3 linked regions of the Sus scrofa genome follow. The protein of the gene in region 2 interacts with the protein of the main gene of each other region in a pairwise test. Links are inferred from orthologs where the notes say so. Each region holds a gene or a part of one and is shown on either strand. Other genes may lie near its edges.

The links.
Region 1: the proteins of HMG20A (region 2) and HPCAL1 interact in binary tests that used the Homo sapiens proteins (3 or more experiments, as listed by UniProt). The two-hybrid records come from large-scale screens. The link is inferred for Sus scrofa from reciprocal best matches to the Homo sapiens genes HMG20A and HPCAL1.
Region 3: the proteins of HMG20A (region 2) and DTNB interact in binary tests that used the Homo sapiens proteins (3 or more experiments, as listed by UniProt). The two-hybrid records come from large-scale screens. The link is inferred for Sus scrofa from reciprocal best matches to the Homo sapiens genes HMG20A and DTNB.

Annotation. Positions count from the first base shown.
Region 1 is NC_010445.4:126,107,804-126,114,280, reverse strand, and holds HPCAL1 (hippocalcin-like protein 1), read left to right. Parts: upstream 1-3,105; coding exon 3,106-3,483; intron 3,484-4,152; coding exon 4,153-4,258; intron 4,259-5,972; coding exon 5,973-6,070; downstream 6,071-6,477. UniProt on the Homo sapiens protein: May be involved in the calcium-dependent regulation of rhodopsin phosphorylation.
Region 2 is NC_010449.5:57,547,183-57,553,559, forward strand, and holds part of HMG20A (high mobility group protein 20A), read left to right. Parts: intron 1-1,585; coding exon 1,586-1,733; intron 1,734-4,135; coding exon 4,136-4,348; intron 4,349-6,377. UniProt on the Homo sapiens protein: Plays a role in neuronal differentiation as chromatin-associated protein. Acts as inhibitor of HMG20B. Overcomes the repressive effects of the neuronal silencer REST and induces the activation of neuronal-specific genes.
Region 3 is NC_010445.4:113,226,554-113,233,030, forward strand, and holds the start of DTNB (dystrobrevin beta), read left to right. Parts: upstream 1-2,607; 5' UTR 2,608-2,806; intron 2,807-6,477.

The sequences.
Region 1 (6,477 bases), on a different chromosome or scaffold from region 2:
GGTTCTGCTCCACAGATGCTGGCGTCTCGAGTTATCAGGTCAGTTCTCCGGGCAGGTGTCTTAGTCCCAGAGCCTCCGCAGCAAAGCGCCTCAGCCTGGGCTGCTTCCAAACCAGCAACTTTCTCTCTCCCAGTTCTGCAGACTGCAAGTCTCTAATCAAAGTGGGGACAGGTCTGGTTCCTGCTGAAATTTCTCCTCTCGGCTTGTGGGGGGCCGTCCCCTCCCCGTGCCCTCACGTGGTCTTCCCTCCGCGTCTGTCAGGGTCCCAGGCTCCTCTTTCAGGATCAGATCCGGACCCACTCATATGGTCCCATTTTATCTTAATGAACTTGTTATGGGCCCTGCCCCCACATACAGCCACATTCTGAGGTCCTGGGGTTAGAACTTGACTATGGGACTTTGGGGCATTTTTTTCAGTCCAGCTGCCTGCGTGCTGGGTCCCTCTGGCTGCCCCGACAGACACGTAGTCACGCTGCTGGTGGGAACAGCCTCAGGTCTCAGCTGAACGAGTGAAGCGTGAGGGTGAGCATGTGTGGGGGACACTCTCTCCCGGGCCGCCCACTCTGCAAGTGGGTCGCTGCCTTTGAAGCACGAGATGGGAGATTGAAGGACAGATGCCCAGGACAAGTCCCTCTTTTGCACCCTTCAGGGCGCAGAAATACCGAGGTGAAAGTGTGTAGTCTGCAGGGTCTTTTTTTATTGATTTTTATTTTTTCCATCATAGGTGGAAATTTTCTACTGTACAGCAAAGTGACCCAGTCACACATAAATATATACATTCTTTTTCCCACATTATCATGCTCCATCATAAGTGACTAGATATAGTTCCCAGTGCTACACAGCAGGATTTCATTGCTTACCCATTCCAAAGGCAATAGTTTGCATCTATGAACCCCAGACTCCCAGTCCATCCCATTCCCGCCCCCCTCCCTTGGAACCACACGTCTCTTCTCCAAGTCCATGAGTTTCTTCTCTGTGGAAAGGTTCATTTGTGCCATATATTAGATTCCAGATCTAAGTCATCTCATCTGGTAATTGTCTTTCTCTTTCTGACTTACTTCACTTAGTAGGAGAGTCTCTAGGTCCATCCATGTTGCTGCAAATGGCATTATTTTGTTCGTTAGTCCTTGGGGTCTTAAGTCGAGTCTGGGAGCCCTGGGGTGCGGGTGCTGCTGGGGGTGGGAGGCGCTTTGGACATTGGAAACTGACAACCAAGTTATGTAGTGATTTGCTGGTTTCCGCTTAGGAGGATCTGCCTCAAGTCAAGTCGAGACAGTAAACCCTGACAGTGTAAAAGCAGGGTTTCAGGAAAAAAATGAAAATAAAAAATAAATAAAAGCAGTGGTTCAGCATGACAGAAGCAGGGATGAAGGAAGGGGGTGGGGGATTCATAGCTTGATCTTTTAGAGAGAAGCAAGAGATTCCTCTCAAGCTGCTTGGCCAAGAAACAGAGGATTCCTGTGTATTTATTTTTTGAATAGTAAAAACATATACAAGAGTTCCTGTTGTGGCTCAGCGGTAATGAATCTGACTAGTATCCATGAGGATGCAGGTTCAATTCCTGGCCTCACTCAGTGGGTTAAGGATCCGGCATTGCCAGGAGCTGTAGTGTAGGTCGCAGATGCAGCTCAGACCTAGCATTGCTGTGGCTGTGGTGTAGGCTGGCAGCTGTAGCTCCGATTGGACCCCTAGCCTGGGAACTTCCATATGCCGAGGATGCGGCCCTAAAAGCCACCCCCCCCAAAAAAGGCAAAAAGACAAAACGGAGGGAGTCCTCACTGTGGCTTATCGGGTTAAGAACCGACAGAGCGTCTGTGAGGATGTGGGTTTGATCCCTGGCATCGATAGTGGGTTAAGGATCCCGAGTTGCTGTGAGCTGTGGTCGCTGATGCTTCTTGGACCCTGGCTGTGGCGTAGCCCTCAGCTGAAGCTCTGATTCATCCCGTAGCCCGGGTCCTTATGCCACAGGCATGGCCATAAAAAAAGAAAAATAAATAAAGTGAGATGGCAAAGAGAAAGCTGTATTAATGCCTAGTAGGAGTTACTCCAGGGTCAGTCTTTTTTTTTTTTTTTTTTTTTTTTTGCTACACCCGTGGCGTGTGGAAATTCCCAGTCCAGCGATCAAACCTGAGCCACAGCAGCGACCTGAGCCTCTATCTACAGTGACACCACCAGATCCTTAAGCCTGCAGGGGCCTGAGATTTTACCATGAACACCGAAGACACTGTGGACTCTTGGTGCTGATTCTAGATCCACTCCCCACCCCCACCCCCAACCAGAGGGTCTCTCAAACAAAATCAAGAAGGGGCTCCTTCAAAGTTTTTGGATGCCTGTTCTAAGGATGAAGTCAGAATATGGTGCCTGAGGAGTTCCCGTCATGGCACAGTGGAAACGAATTCAACTAGGAACCATGAGGTTGCGGGTTTGATCCCCGGCCTCACTCATTGGGTTAAGGATCCAGTGTTGCTTTGAGCAGTGGTGTAGGTTGCAGACGCGGCTTGGATCTGGTATTGCTGTGGCTCTGGTGTAGGCTGGAGGCTACAGCTCCGATTCGACCCCTAGCCTGGGAACCTCCATATGCCATGGGAGCGGCCCTAAAAAGACCAAAAAAAAGAAAAAGAAAAAAGAGAATATGGTGCCCGAAAGAGAAAAGCACGGCTCAGAACAGGGGGTGTGGGGTGCAGTCAGCGTGACAGTATCGCCTGGAGCTGACGAGGGCGGTGAGAGTAAGGATTCCATCCTTAAGTCTTGTACAATCCCCAGTGGGCCTCATTCTCTCGATTTCAAGTGGCCATTTTTCCACATCTCCACCTTCTGGAAGTAGGGTATTCCTTCCAGTGTGAGGTCGGCTGGCCCTGACTCCCTGGAGCATCCCCGCCTCCCTAGGGGTACACTGCACCGCCACCGCCCCGAAGGCATCCCAGCCACGCTGAGACGTCTCATCACCATGATGGCCAGAGTCCGGCCTGTCCAGCCCTGGGTGCGAGACAGGCAGGGGACGTTCCTCCGGCCCACTCAGCGGCTGCCGGCAGTGGGGCGCCCTCCCCGGCCCCGAAGTCCCCAGCTGGGCCCCCTGTCTTGCAGGTGTCGCCACCGCCGGCCGTCATGGGCAAGCAGAACAGCAAGCTGCGGCCCGAGGTGCTGCAGGACCTGCGCGAGAACACCGAGTTCACGGACCACGAGCTGCAGGAGTGGTACAAGGGCTTCCTCAAAGACTGCCCCACCGGCCACCTGACCGTGGACGAGTTCAAGAAGATCTACGCCAACTTCTTCCCCTACGGCGACGCCTCCAAGTTCGCCGAGCACGTCTTCCGCACCTTCGACACCAACGGCGACGGCACCATCGACTTCCGGGAGTTCATCATCGCGCTGAGCGTGACGTCGCGGGGCAAGCTGGAGCAGAAGCTCAAGTGGGCCTTCAGCATGTACGACCTGGACGGCAACGGCTACATCAGCCGCAGCGAGATGCTGGAGATCGTGCAGGTGCGTCTCCGAGGCCCCGCCCACCCAGGGCTCGGGGCCGCCACGCCCGTAGCCGTGGCCGTGGCCGTGGTGATGGTGGCAGAGCCCGGGTTTCCTCGGGCCCCTTGGACAGAGACGCACGGAGGTGGCCGGCGGGGCTGCTGAGCCCTCCCATGGCAGTGTCCCAGAGAGCAGGTGCTCGGTCCTTTCTGGGGCTAGTGAGATGGTTCTCCTTGCTGGGTCTCAGGGTCTGAGTCTTTTTTTTTTTTTTTTTTGGCTTTTAACGGAGGTGCAGCCATCCCGTAGTCAGGTGTTTGAGGCCCGGCGTGCCGCGTGATGGGCCGTGCCCGCGTCTGGCCGGGTCCTCCCCCTCCGCCGCAGTCCAGCCCGCAGAAAGCCCGAGAACTGCCCCGCCTCCCGCCCCCAGACAACCCCTGTCTTACAGCCATCACCTCGGGTCATTTCCTCTGTTCTTGAACTTCACGTAAATGAGTCCGGCTTCCTCTGGCTCGTGTGCTGTCTGCCATATCCTTCCTCGCTACTGGGAGGAGCGGGCAACTTTCCAGCTAGGGAGGGGTCCGCAGCCCCGACTGCTGTGGGCGAGGCCGAGGCGGCAGCTCGCGCCTGGGCCCCACCCGTCCAGGGACACCCCGGAATCGCTGAGCACGAGGTGTGTGTGCCCCTTTGCAGGCCATTTACAAAATGGTGTCGTCGGTGATGAAGATGCCGGAGGACGAGTCCACCCCTGAGAAACGCACGGACAAGATCTTCAGACAGATGGACACCAATAATGACGGTAAGACCCCGGCGTCAGTGCCTCGGAGCACAGATGCGTGTGGGAGCCTTCCCTCCTGCTCTGCAGCTTCTCGGGCCTCACCCAGCCATGCAGCTGCATTCAGGGAAGAGCCGGGGTTCGGAGTCCGGGTGCCTGGGTGAGCGTCCTGCCCCCCTGATCTGTAGTCTCCTTGCTTCTAGAACCGGGGGACGGTAGGCCCCGGCTGTCCAGGGAGAGGCGCAGGTGCAGTGTCACCGCGCCCTGCAGGGGTGGGGACCAAGCGTCCCATGTGGTGGGGCCCTGGGAACTGCATCCCTTTGCTCTCATTATCCTGACTGGAGGGCTCCCAGTGGCCCCAGGGACTCTGCGGGGAGGTGCTGGCTGGAGCAGCTGTGCGGGGCCTCTGGGCTCATGCCACGGCAGAGGTGGCGCTTCCAGGAGGGGCGGTGGCAGCCGCACAATGAGGACTCAGTGTGTTTCCTGCTCTGCACTGGCTGCGAGCTTCTGCGGGGCCCACAGGGGGAGCGTAGCTGTGAAACTCCACGGGTCTACGCCTCTTAAGCAGTGTTAAGTGCCGTCCCAGAGCCTGGTCCGATTTGCTTTTGATCAATAAAGAAATGCAGCATTTAGACAAGAAAAAAGAGAAAATACCCCCTGGGCTGTGCTGGAGATGGAAAATAAGCAAATGGACAGAAGCGTGCTCTCTAGACCCCGAAGTGAGGTGCGAGGAGGAGGCCGAGGGCTGCGCCCTCGGGGGAGGGGTGCAGCGGCGCGACCGCAGCTGGAGAGCCTCTTATGCAGAGGCAGGAAGTGGGCTCCCCAAGGCACAAGTTGCCACAATGCAGGGTCTGCTTCAAACTCGGTCCCTCCCACATCTGTATCCTGGGAGCATGTGTTTGGCGCCAGCGTCGGTGGCTCTGGAACTCACCTTTCTACGGCACCCGGTCCCAGGAGTAACAAGGTCCTCGATGCAGGAGGCACCGAGGACGAGGCAGGCACCAGCAGGCCCTTGGCAGGCCTCTGCCTAACCCTCCCACCCCGCAAAGCAGGTAGTGCAGGAGCAGGAAGGGGACTCAGCCGGAGCAGCGGGCCGAGCCTCCGCCAATGGATGGCCAAGCTGGACGGGCCGGAACCACACCCCGGGCAGTGGCTGGGAGGCTCTGGATTGGTTATGGGCTAGAGACAGAGGCCATGTTCTTTCCGGACAAGACACGTCGTTCTTAAATAAAGCGTGGAGAACTTTCTAGAAGGATTTAGCTTGCCCCACCAGCCACAGCGTGCAGCCATACTGGGGACAGCCTTTGAGGGGCCCCGTGCTGTGCCACGAACAGTGAAAGCCAAAAAGGGTTTTCCAGAAATGCTCTTTTTTTTCTTTTCTTTTTTTTTTTTTTTTAATGTTAGGGCCGTACCCACAGCATATGGAAGTTCCCAAGCTAGGGGTTGAATCAGAGCTGCAGCCACCGGCCTACGCCACAGCCACAGCAACAGCAGATCCAAGCCGCATCTGTGACTTACAGCTTGCAGTCACGCCAGATCCTTAACCCACAGAGCGAGGCCTGGGATCGAACCCGCATCCTCATGGATACTAGTCGGGTTCTCACGCTGAGCCTCAACAGGAACTCCCCAGAAATGCCGTTGAAACGAGTGGAGCCTGGACAGCATCCAGGACTCAAGGGCGCGTGGGGACAGTGACACAGGAATGGTGACAGCACACTAACTCCCATTTCTCCCCCAGGCAAACTGTCCCTGGAAGAATTCATTAAAGGTGCCAAGAGCGACCCGTCCATCGTCCGGTTGTTACAGTGTGACCCCAGCAGCGCCAGTCAGTTCTAAGGGCCCGGCATGTGGACAGTGCAGAGAAACACAAGCTTGTCTTGCCATTTAAGCTTTGCTTGCGACAGTGGATGCCTCCTCAGTCATTCCTGCTCTCCCAGGGCAGCCAGGCGCCGCGTGGCACCTGCCCGCCCGGCGGCCGCGCCTCCCCCCCTCCGCCCGGCCTCCTCCCGCCCCCTCCCGGGTCCCTCCTGGGCGACTCCCCGGGATGTGTTTACACGCAGGGCTCCCAGCATCCTTGCTTCTGGGCCACCTCCCGGCCTGCAGGGAGCCCAGAGGACGCGCCGAGGATACTGGCGGGACTTTTCTAAGATCGCGCCAAGGCCAGCCGACTTCTCTTGTGATCGCAGGTGACTCTGGGAAAGATGGAGACAAGAATGGAGGGAACATAGACGGGCAGCCCCCCC
Region 2 (6,377 bases):
AACGATCTTTCTTACACACACATGCTTGCGCGTGCGCACACACACACGCACACACACATACCAGTCGTTACCTTGGTTAAGAGTACATTATCGCCCAATCTGGAAACCACAGAATTACCTCTGACTTTCTTTCCCCCTCACTATTTCTTTTCAGTCGGTCATTGTACCTCCTAATTATCTTTTAGTCCTTCATCTTCCCTATTCTCCTACCTGCCCTTGTCTCTCACTTAGTCTACTGTAGTAGCCTCTGGAAAGGTTTCCATTTCTCCTGTTATACCCTGTTCTTTCTACCTGTAATAATGTTGGTTACCTGGTGAATGCCAATCCATCTTTTAAGACCTTCTCCATAAAGTCTTTCTTCCTTTTTTTTTTTTTTCCAGGGCACCTACAGCATATGGAGGTTCCCAGACTAGGGGCTCAATTGGAGCTGTAGCCACCAGCCTATGCCAGAGCCACAGCAATGCCAGATCCAAGCCACGTCTGCAACCTACACCACAGCTTGCAGCAACTCTGGATCCTTAACCCACTGAGTGAGGCCAGGGATCAAACCCGCAACCTCATGGTTCCTCGTCAGGTTCATTTCCGCTGCACCATAATGGGAACTCCTTTTTTTTTTTTTTTTTTTTTTTTTTGAAGTCTTTCTTAACATTCTCTCCATACATATAAAATTCATCATCCCCTCTACAGTACTTGTATGGTGCATTTTACAGACTTCTGTTTCAGTACTTATATTGCATTGCAATTATTTTTTATAACCCTATGGAGTATACATTCTTCCAGAATAATAACTAATTGCTCTCTTGTACATTTTCCCCCACTTTCCCAGTACCTAGCAAAAAAACCCAAACTCTAGCACAGGGTATTACCTTTATATCCATTCCTTTATCTTCATGTGATTAGGGAAGGTCAGTCTAAGATCCAGCCATCATCTGTACTGTCTTGATTCCACCTTTCAGAAGGATGAGATCTGGTTTGCTGACTCATCTAGAACAGAATGGTAGGAATAGAAAATCTGTATCTCTGATTTATTAACATTTATACCTGAATTTACCGAACTTAAACACTAGAATCCAAGAAGGAGTAGCCTCTGGAACGTACCATAAGAAATATTTCTTATGCCCTTAAAGAACTCTTTGTGATAAGCGTAAGCAAATGATCTCTACAACTCCCATTCCTATTCTTTTTCCACTAATAGTTTTTTTTTCCTTTTATTGCATTAGAGATAAGTAGCATATAAAATATTTTTATATGAAAAACTGCACATAAAAGTTAGCTGCATGCTCAAAACTAAAATGTGAAGTCTGCATTGAGGGGAGAGGTAATTTGTGGGGGAAAGATTATAGTTGTTTCTAAGGAGACTTCATGGAACTGACCTGGTTCAACCAAGCACTGAAACCTTGTTTTAAAATGCTCTGTAATCGCTATGGAGCTATTGTTTACATTTACACAGCATGAGGTGGGAAAATTAATTCAAGAGCTGGCGTGTAATTTTGCGGTCCCTGAAATTTATCTTGCCCCTTGGTTAATGAGGAGGTTTTGAGACTGTTGAGACTGAACTTTTCCACTTCTGCCTACCATTCTTCAGGTTAACCCATCCAGAAGTTCCATATGGTAGTGGAGCCACATCATCCACTAACAATCCAGAATTTGTAGAGGATCTCTCCCAAGGTCAGTTGCTTCAGAATGAGTCTTCAAATACAGCAGAAGGCAATGAACAAAGGCACGAAGATGAGGTAAGCTGAAGCATCTGCTCCTGTTAGTGGTCTCTGAGGCTTCTGAAGAGGCAGTCAGCAAGGCAGTTGATCCAGGTGTTCATCCCCTGGCCTCCTTACATTCTGCAGAATTTTCTGTTTTCTGTTTCTTGTTTTACACAGACTACATATTAATGGTTTTAATATGATACAGAGAAAGGTAGACTCTTTTTTCCCCTGCCTAAAAAATTTATACCTGCATCAGATTAGTTGCTCAACAAGTACTTACTGAGTTGAATGATTTAATTGAATAAGTAATTAATGAGGAGTCCAGGTGCTGTTATTCAAGACCACACACTTCTCACAAAACCCTGCAGCATGCAGTCATATGTGGCCAAAGGATTGTCATTCACCCTCCCATTGGGGGCATCTTTCTTTAATTCACACAGAGGTTCTATATGGGCCTGGGCAGTCATGCCCTTGTTGGACTTTCATTGTTCCTCAGAAATGACTGATTGCCTAGTCTATGTTTTAAGGTTTTTTGGGTTTTTTTTTTAAGCCATGAAAGAGTACCACCATTGATTTTTGTCTTTATTCTTATTTTTGAAAGAGCTGATTCTTCTCATGCTGGCATTCTTAAAATTTTTGATGAATGCTTAAAGCTTCTTAAACATCTTAAGTCCTTAGTAGCTTTACTGTTAAATGTTACTAGGTTTGCAAAACAAAACAGGAAGGAAAAAAATCTGATACAAAATATATCATTTGCCCCATGCTGAACTATTGTACCATTTTAAATATGGAGGAGTACAGTATGGTAAGTAGTATTTAGATATTTTTGTCCCATTTTGCTTATCTTTTTCTTCTCTGAAATAAGAATGCTTATATCTATAAAACTTTAAAATTATTAATTGATAGGCTATGTGAATTTGTAAAATTTGCGCAAAAGTACCTTGCATCTTGTTTATCATTTATTTTTATTTTTTTATTTTTTTTGTCTATTTAGGGCTGCACCGGCGACACATGGAGGTTCCCAGGCTAAGGGTCTAATCAGAGCTGTAGCCACCGGCCTATGCCAGAGCCACAGCAACGCGGGATCCGAGCCGTGTCTGCAATCTACACCACAGCTCACAGCAACGCTGGGTCCTTAACCCACTGAGCAAGGCCAGGGATTGAACCCGCAACCTCATGGTTCCTAGTCGGATTCATTAACCACTGAGCCACGACGGGAACTCCCCTTGCATCTTGTTTAAAAGGACAAAGAAAAAATACTTCAGTCCTCTTTTGAAATTTTTGGGGGGATGATTTCATCTTTTTTTTTTTTCTTCTTTTTTTCTGTCTTTTTAGGGCCGCACCCATGGCATATGGAGGTTCCCAGGCTAGGAGTCCAATCTAAGCTGTAGCTGCCGGCCTAAGCCAGAGCCACAGCAACGCGGGATCTTAGCCGCATCTTCGACCTCACTACAGCTCATGGCAACACTGGGTCCTTAACCCACTGAGCAAGGCCAGAGATTGAACCCGTGTCCTCATGGATGCTAGTCAGGTTCATTAACCCCTGAGCCACGACGGGAATTCTGGGGGTGATTTCATCTTTTTTGCTATAACTAGTAACATTAAGACCTCTGCCTTTAAAAATTAACGTCTTGGAGTTCCCGTCGTGGCTCAGTGGTTAACAAATCCAACTAGGAACCATGAGGTTGCAGGTTCCATCCAAGCCTAGGAACCTCCATATACTGCGGGAGCGGCCCAAGGAAATGGCAAAAAGACAAATAAATAAATAAATAAATAACATCTTAAGATATAACTCATCAAGCCAAAGAAGTAGTCTTCATTTTGGATATATTATAGTTGCTGAAATTTTTCTAAGTCTTAGAAATTAATTTTAAAATCTGTATTGCTCTCTGCTGTGGGAAATAAACTGATCTTTGAGTGGTATCAGTGAGAAAGACCCTTCATCAATGATGTTAGTTCCTGTGCTACATTTGCCTGTTCTTTTGCCCAGTGCATGGTACAGCATCTTGTTCTGATCTACTGTAGCAATGTCTGCTTCTCTGGCACAGAGTTCTGTATGTGCTGCATTCTCATTTAGAACATTCCCCAGCCAGGAGTCAGGACTTGTTAAGTTCATATGAAGGCCAAGGCTTTTTGAGCATGGTACCTCTTATTCTTATCTGTTGGGGTTAGCCCTAAAATAGCCCCTGAGTGTAACAGTTTGTAACATAGCACATAAAAAGGTCTGCAAGTGAACCCTCTGGAGTCCCTTCTTGAAAACTGCATTGCAGTCATTTGTACCTATAACAGATTTGGAAAGCTTGAAAATATCCAGGGCCTTAATGGTGGGAAAATGCAATTCTTAATCCTGTTTTGTTTTTTGGTGTTGATTGTTGTTATTTCGGGAAATTTTTGCTATTGTAATTTGATCTAGGGTTTTTATTTCGCCTTTGTAGCAAAGAAGTAAACGAGGAGGTTGGTCCAAAGGAAGAAAAAGGAAGAAACCTCTTCGAGACAGCAATGCACCCAAATCCCCCCTCACAGGATATGTCCGGTTCATGAACGAGCGTCGAGAACAGCTTCGAGCAAAAAGACCAGAAGTCCCATTTCCAGAAATTACAAGGATGTTAGGCAATGAATGGAGTAAACTTCCTCCTGAGGAAAAACAGGTAATTGTTCCTATTCCTGATCCTTTGCTTGGTTTTGATTAAATCTCAAAAATACCTTATATCAGAAAAGCAAAGAAAATTGCCTGTTGATTCTTCACTTTTGTCATGGTGCCTAGGAGAACAGAATAGCAGGGTCCTTCACAGCTCTTTTCTCCAGCTCTGTGGTTTTTACACTCTTTCCGAGTCTGCTGCAGGGGTGTGAGCAGGAGGGACTCTAGGACCCCCCTCAACCAAAGCAACTCCACATTTATTTGCTTTATGTCCTAAAAATTCATAAAAGATTTTTGTAAAAAGTAGTTCACCAATAAGAAATCTGTCAACATAATTTTATTCTATGGAGTTAAATGAATAAAGTCATGAGATAAATGAGAAAAGGTCCTTTGATAAAATTTTGTTCACATGAAATTTTTAAGAAAAAGATTTTACTGCTTTAATATAAACTTTTTTAACTGGAGTTCTGGCAGATTTAACCTACTATGGAAAATAAAGCAAAAACTATTTGAATTCTTTCTCCTCCAAGACAGAAACTAACCCTATTGCCAAACTGAAACAAATCCATTTGTTGGAGAGATTTGAGTGGAATTAAAGACAAGATAACCACGAACTCATTGAAATGCCACAGAAGTGGTGTGATGGTAATGACTGTGGGAATAGTTTTGGGTTAAAAGGTCCCAGTATTCTCAGCATCTGAAATATATCTATATTTCTTTTATGCCTTACATTCTTTAAAAAGGACTCCAAACAGACTAAAACCAAATTGGAAAATACTCTTGGGAATTAACTGAATTCAAAAAATTTCAAAGAGATCAGATTGAGTTGCAATTTGGAGCTCTGTGCTTGTGGTAGCAAGCTAATAGAAAACAGCGTGTATCATCCATTGTTTTAGTGCTAATGTATAAAGGGATCATGAGCTGTACATACTAGGCTACGCTTTTCTCTTTAATTTTTTTATTTCAAAATTAGTACCTGCTCATTGTTTAAAATATTTTCAGGCAGTACAGAAGTATGTAGAGAAAAAAGCAGAAGTCATCTCCAGTGACAGCCCACGGGGATAATTAACAGTAGTTAAGTAGGGCAAGGGTTTTTGTGTTTGTCTTTGTTTTTAATTTTTTCTTTCAATGTAATTTTTCAAATATGCAAGAAGTTACAAACGTAGAATAGAACAGAGTACACCCAAATACCCTTTACCCAGATTAATCTAGTATTAACACTTTTTCTCTATTTGCACATGCTCATACTCTCCCGGGAAAGCTTGGGCACACTCGTGCATTCTCTCTCCCCTCACACACACACACACACACACACACATACATCATAGTCCTATACCCTTAAATATTTCAGTGTGGATTTCCTAAGAACAGACATATTCTCTCACATAACCACAGTTTAGTTAACAACCTTACTAAACACTATACTTTTATCTGACCTACCATCCATATTCCAATTTTGTTGGTTGACCTAACATCATTCCTCTGTAACATTTTCCCCCTTCAGTTCAGATTCCAGTCCAGGGGGTCAGCTTCTGCATTTAGTAGTCAAATCTCTAGATTCCTTTAATCTGGACTATTTCCACAGCCTTTGGTTGTCACATTGATATATTTTAAGAATACAGTCTGTCCCTCTTCCTGCCCCTCCTTTTTGTTTACTTTTAACAGAACATTCCTCATTTTGATTTTGGATGTTTCCTCCTGATTAGATTGAGGTTATGCATTCTTGGTCAGAATACCACATAGATGGTGTTGGTCCTGCTCAGGGTATCATGTATGCAGGCACACGATATCCTTTTGTGTAATGTTAATGTTGCTCACTTAATAAAGTTTTTTATTCTCCCTTATAACTAACAATCAATCTGTGGAAAGACCACTTTAAGAACACGAAAATAGTCTGTTCCACATCAAAATTTTGCCCTAGATTTAGCATTCATTGATGACTTTTGCCTGATCTAATCTTTACCATCATTTTGCAAAATGATGATTTTCCAACTCTCTCACTCCCTCAGCATTTACCAGTCAGCCCTCGGTATTCCAGT
Region 3 (6,477 bases), on a different chromosome or scaffold from region 2:
TTTACATAGTGGCTCAGGGCTTCAAGAGCAAGTGTTTCCAAAGACCTGGGTGGACTCCTCAAGACTCCATATGATTTAGGCCTGGAAGTCCCATAATACCACACATTCCATTGGTCAAGCAATTCACTTAGGCCAGCCTGGATTAAAAGTGATAAAGAATTTACAGGGAGTTCCCATTGTGGCTCAGCGGGTTAAGAGCCCAACATAGTGTCTGTGAGGATGCAAGTTCATCCCTGGCTTTGCTAGGTGGGTCGGGGATCCAGCATTGCTGTGAGCTGTGGTGTAGGATGCAGATGCTGCTCAGATCCTGCCTTGCTATACGGCTGTGGCATAGGCTGGCAGCTGCAGCTCCGATTCGACTCTTAGCCTGGGAACTTCCATATGCTGTAGCTGTGGCCCTCAAAAAAAAAAAAAAAAAAAAAAAAAAAAAGTGACATGCTCTGTGTTCTTAAATGCCTCCAAGGGCCCTAGCAATAGACTCAAAAATGGCCTGGAGCATTTAGGATGAAGCCTGAGAGCAGTGCAGTGAAATCGTGGGGACAGGAGCCACACAGCTATGGGTTGGGGATTGAGAGGGTGCTGAGTTGGCAGAGATTTGTGAATAAAAAGGCAGGAGTAGTAACCAGAGCATGATCTAGAGTGACAGAGGTGTCCTCCTTTTTCTTTAGAGCAGGAAAAGCTCAAACATGAATAGATGGTGACAGCAAAGGACAAGTAGGTAAAAGAAGTCGGCAATTTGGGGAATGAGAGTGAGGACTGAAATGCTTGAAAGAAGTTTTCTGAGAATGTGAGAGGTGCAGAAATACAGAACTGAGGTGGCGAGATGCTAATATGAATATATTAAAAGTGGTTAATTCCCAGAATGGCTAAACCACATACTGAAATTACTGTGGTTTCAATCAATAGGGCAAACAGAGCAAGCCACATTTACATGTTTATTTTACATTATTTACACATCTTTCCTCCAAAGGGCAGGATCGATGTTTCACCTTTTCAATGCCTTCCACACAATTGGTGCTCCGTAAGTAGTGAGTAAACAAGAGCTCCCTTACCTGTATTCTGTGTTTCTTAACACATTCAAAACATAGCTAAGACCCTGCACACAAGTGAAAAATTCTTCTATGTATGCAAAACAGTCACAAAATTTATGTGTGATAGACGATGCCAACTTTTTTTGAGGAACCTGTTTACTCGAATTTAACAAACTTGGTTTCCAGCATCTCCTTCACCATAGAGGTTTAAAAATAGGAGATGAGAGGAGGAAGAGGATGCTGTAAAGGCAGGCAGGCAGGCAGACAGCAGCAGGAGGTGGCACGATGTACCATAAGTTGCCAAAAAACAGTGAAAAACCAGACTCAAAACATACCGGCCTGGGCTCTCCTGGTTTAGAGATTCACATCCTTCACTAACATATCAAGAGTCTTTAAAGTGTTTGGAGCCTCAAAAAATGTTGAGAAAATGATCCTTTGAACTGTTAAAAGAAGCATTGCTGTTCCTCATTCGGCACCACCTTCTGTTTCTCACACAGTTTGGACAGGATTTGATCAAAAATGGATATTAGGAGTTCCCGTCGTGGCGCAGTGGTTAACGAATCCGACTAGGAACCATGAGGTTTCGGGTTCGGTCCCTGCCCTGGCTCAGGGGGTTAACGATCCGGCGTTGCCGTGAGCTGTGGTGTAGGTTGCAGACGCGGCTCGGATCCCGCGTTGCTGTGGCTCTGGCGTAGGCCGGTGGCTACAGCTCCGATTAGACGCCTAGCCTGGGAACCTCCACATGCCGCGGGAGCGGCCCAAAGAAATAGCAAAAAGACAAAAAAAAAAAAAAAAAAAAAAAAAAAGGATATTAAAGCAAAAAAGCTGATGCTGAGATGGTAACCTTTATTTACTCTCCGTTCCTTTGTCCAAGCTGTTTACCTAGCTTTTAATGTCCCCTCCCCCTTTTTTCCTCCTAGTACGTCCTTTTCTTCCCTGCATGGTGAACACAAATGCCACCTCTTCCAAGAACCCCCGAGCATTGTCCAAGCGGAAGTAATCTCTTCCTCTGTTCTCCCACAACATCTCACTGTGGCTTGGCTTTGCACGGGTCACCAGACCTGGTTGTTTACATGGCTGCTTTTCCACTAAGTTATGCGCTTCTTGTGATCGGGGACCGTGACGATGACGATGTAACCACACAGCACCTGGTACAGCGCTACAGCGCTAGGCACGGAGTCGGTGCTCAGTAACTGCTCGCTGGGTTGAATCAATCTGGAAAAATCACTCGGGGCAGGGTCTCGTGCTCCAGGCACGGATGAATGATTCGGGGTGGAGGTGGTTCTTTGCATTTTTTACCTCGTAGTTACGTCGGGGCGAGCATCCAGGTGGCGGGGCCCATACCTACGGAGTAGAAATGCACCTCCGCGGCCCGCTGCAGACACCCGGGCGAAGTCGGTAGGGGGCAAGTTTCCTCCGCCCTCCCGGAACCCGGCCGTAGGGGGCGGGGCTCGAGGGGAATGAGGCCCGCTGGCCCGCCCCCTCCTCCGCGCGGCGGAAGCCCCGCCCCCAGCCGCGCGTTCGCGCAGGCGGCTCGTGCCCGCCCCCAGCCCTGCGCCCTCGCGCCCTCGCGCCCTCGCGCCGGGGGCGGGCTCGCTGCGCGTGCCGGGCGGGGAAGCGGCGCGAGCCGGGCGCCTGAGAACGTTCGCCGCGGGGGCGGCTCCGGGGCCTGAGCGGACGCCGCCGCCGCCTGAGCCGCGGGGGCCGGGCCGGAGGAGACGGAGGAGGCTGCGGCCCCCGAAGACCTTCTCGACGCCCCCAGCTCCGGCCGAGAAGTAAGTACGGTGGGGGTTGGCGGCGGCGGCGGCCGCTGGCTGCGGGAGAGGAGCGCGGTGCTGGAGCCTCGCGCTCGCGAGGGACGAGAAGGAGCCCGCGCAGCGCCCGCACCTGGGGAGCCTGCGGGGGTGCAGGGCCGGGAGCGGCGGAGACTGAGCCTGGGAGCCGGGGCCGCAGCACCGCGCGCGCTGTGAGAGGAGACGGCGCCGCGCGAGCGGTCTCCGCCGCTCCTGGCCCCCGCCGCTCCCGGCCCTGGAGGGGCGATCCGAGGGGATGGAGCGCAGCCCCCGGCTGGCGTCGCCGAGCTGTGATCCCCGGGGCCGGGGAGGGGACTCCCGGGTCCCGAGCTTGCTGTGGCCACCGGGCGCGGAGCTGGGGTGCGGGCGCTGGACTGATGCTGCCGGAGGCCGGCTGGCTGGGAGGAGGCTCTGCGTTAGGTGTTGAAGGGGGCGAAGGAGGCAGGTCCTGGCAGAGGGCAGGTGAGGCAGGCAGGCCCTGGCAGAGGGAAGGGAATTTATTTCACATCGCCCTAAAGCACTATTTCCCGAGGCGCCTAACAGTGAACCTGTCCCCCGAGGTCACCCTTTAAAGGAAAGTGCCCTGAGAGGAGGGAGGATGCAGCTATGGAATGCTTGCTGTTAAATTCCTGTGCCAGGCCTTGGGATTAGGAAGACCTTCCAGCCTTCTCAGCAAATGTTTATTGATTAGCTCTTTTCGGTCGAGAACCGTGATCCACAAAATTGTGTAAAACACAGCCATCGTTTGCTGTTTGGGTGCGGACAATCCGATTGTGAAGGTATGCGTATAAAATACAAAGCAGATTTGAGTTTTACCTCATACCGTATTCATTTTAGGTCTCTTTTTTCACAGTATTGGGAGGTTCGAGTCATAAAACTGCTTGGTTTGGGGATTCAAGTAGGAGGGTCCGAGAAGCTTGTGGGAAGAATTTGGGAGTTTTTGAAGGTGCTTTTAACATTTAAAGGGGGAGAAGGGAAAAGAGAATTGGAAATAGGTAAGAGAAGGGAAAAGGGAATTGGAAATAGATAAGAAGTTCCCTTCCTTCCTAAGTAGAATGAAACTCCATGACTGTTAACTGAATCCTCAGTGACAGGAACAGAGCCTGAGCCCCAGCAGGCACTAAATGCCTGCCTCTTGCAAAAATGAATGAACCCAGCAAGGTTTTGCTCTATTTTACACGGAACCCTGTTGATCAATTTGGTGGTAGGGATAGCTGATGAACTTTACTTGTTCTTCAGGCTCGATCTCTCCTTTTTTTTTGGCCGAGTAACCCAGGTTCTTAGATCTTCGTGGCTATAGTGACGGAGGTGTGATTTTTTTTTTTTTGGCCTTGCTGCCACTTTCACGTCTTTATTGCATGTTGGCTGCCAGGAGCTTACTCTTTGGGCCATTGCTTCAAGTCATCCCATTTCTGGCCCTCCTCTTTTCCATCACTTGGGGAAGGAGAATACTTTTGTCTAGAGAACACTTTTTCATTTTTATTCGTGTTCTTGGATCTTAGGTCTATAGTGAGAGGATATATCTCTGTTTTTTGAGGGCTGAGATTCTGCCTTTTCTCTGCCTTGGTTGGATTTCGGGACTCAGGCTCCAGGCTGCTGTTTCAATTGCCTGTGCTGCAGTGCCTGTTAGGTTACTTTGACTGCCAAATTAAAACTTGACCTTTTATGAGTTCTCTGAGGATTTTTATCACACATAAATGGAATTACCTTTGAAGGGGGTAATGTAGTCAAGGCAGTGCTGGCAGGGTTTTGAGTGTCCACTCTGTGTGAGAAACAAAATTTCTACTTAGAAAATCAGACTTAAAGTCAATAGAATGCCAGGTAACCATTTATTTTATGTCTTTAATATAAAATATCTCAGGACCTATGTTACCTCATGAAAATAAAGTATTAATTCAAATTTGGCATTCTGTAGTAAGCCTTGAAGAACTAAGTTAGTTTCAGGGCTGTGTACTTAAGAGTACAACCAGCAGGTGTCTACTGGTTCTTATTTATTTATTTATTTATTTTTAATTTAGGGCCGTGTCTACTAATATGGTGGTTTCCAGGCTAGGGGTCAAATCAGTTTCTGCTGCCAGCCTATACCACAGCCACAGCAACACCAGATCAAGCCACAATGGGAACTCCTACAGTTCTTGTTTTGGGATACCTAGGTCCTGTAATTTTGGATGCCTTGTTTCAGGTTTTCTCAATGATACTGTATTTTATTTATTTATTTATTTAATTTATATTTCTTTCTAAATCGCCTTTATTGATGTATGGTTTTCATATAATAAACTGGATAGCTGTTCCATGCAGAATTGGACGAGTTTGAAAAAAAAAATATATGTATATACAGATCTTCCTTCTTATTTATTTCTTCTTTTTTTTTTGGCCTATGCCGCAGCCACAGTGTTGTGGGATCCCAGCCACATCTGCGACCTACACCACAGCTCACAGCTGTGGCTGATCCTTAACCCACTGAGTGAGGCCAGAGATTGAACCCTCATCCTCATGGATCCTAGTCGGCTTTGTTAACCACTGAGCCCTGAAGGGAACTCCCCTCTTATTTATTTCTAATTATGCAAACATGAGGGCTGTGGCATCTAGTTGTGCAGGATGTATACTGCTAACTGTAGGGGTGCCATTCACATCCGGGTCCCTGAGCCTGGTCCCTCCTGGGGTTATATGGTGCAGCCTGTGGCTGTGTACTGCAGCCCTGCAAGTGGCTCGTGAATGCACGCTCTCTTAGAAAATGCTCGAACAGTACAGACAGACTAAAGGCCCCCTTGACCCACTCCCTTCTCCACCAAAACTGCGATTACCAGTTTGTTGTGATCCTGTCAGACCCTTCTCTCTAGGTTTTCATCTGTATGTAGGTAACGCAGACAAAAGTAGGATTTCCTGCCAGGCCCCCATTAATGACATGATACTGTACACCTTGGTCTGCAGCTTTTCTCTGACAGAATGTCTAAGGTCTTTCCATGATGGAACATAAAGATCTACCTGATTCTTGACGACTGCCCAATCCCTTATGTAGTATGCACTGGACTGCGGTTTATTAATCCTCTCATTAAGGGTCATTAAAGCTGTTTGCCGTTTCACACGTTGCTGCAGCGAGTGAAAAGTACAGCTGCTAGGTCTAAGGGGTGCCCGATTGAAATTAGTCAGTGAAGACTTAACCATGTTGCCCTTTGTGGATCTGGTTCATTTATTTTTAAATGCTGAGTACTGTTCAGTTGTGGACTTCAATCACTCTTTATGTATCTTTCACTCACTGAGTATGACCAAAATGCGTAGGTAGTACAGGAAGTTCCTATAACCCCTCTTCTTCATAGAGACTCTCCCACTGTTAACATCTTACATTAGTGCAGTACATTTGTTATAACTGATGAAGATATAGTGACACTTTTTTTTTTGGCTTTTTAGGGCCCACCTTCAGCACATGGAGGTTCCCAGGCTAGGGGATGAATCAGAGCTGCAGCTGCCAGCCTGTACCACAGCCACAGCAATTCTGGATCCAAGCCGTATCTGTGTCCTACACTGCAGCTCATGGCAATACCGAATGCTTAACTCATTCAGTGAGGCCTGGGATCGAACCAGCATCCTCATGGAGAGGATGTGGGGTTCTTAACCAGCTGAGCCACAGTGGGAAGTCCTGCATTTTGTATATC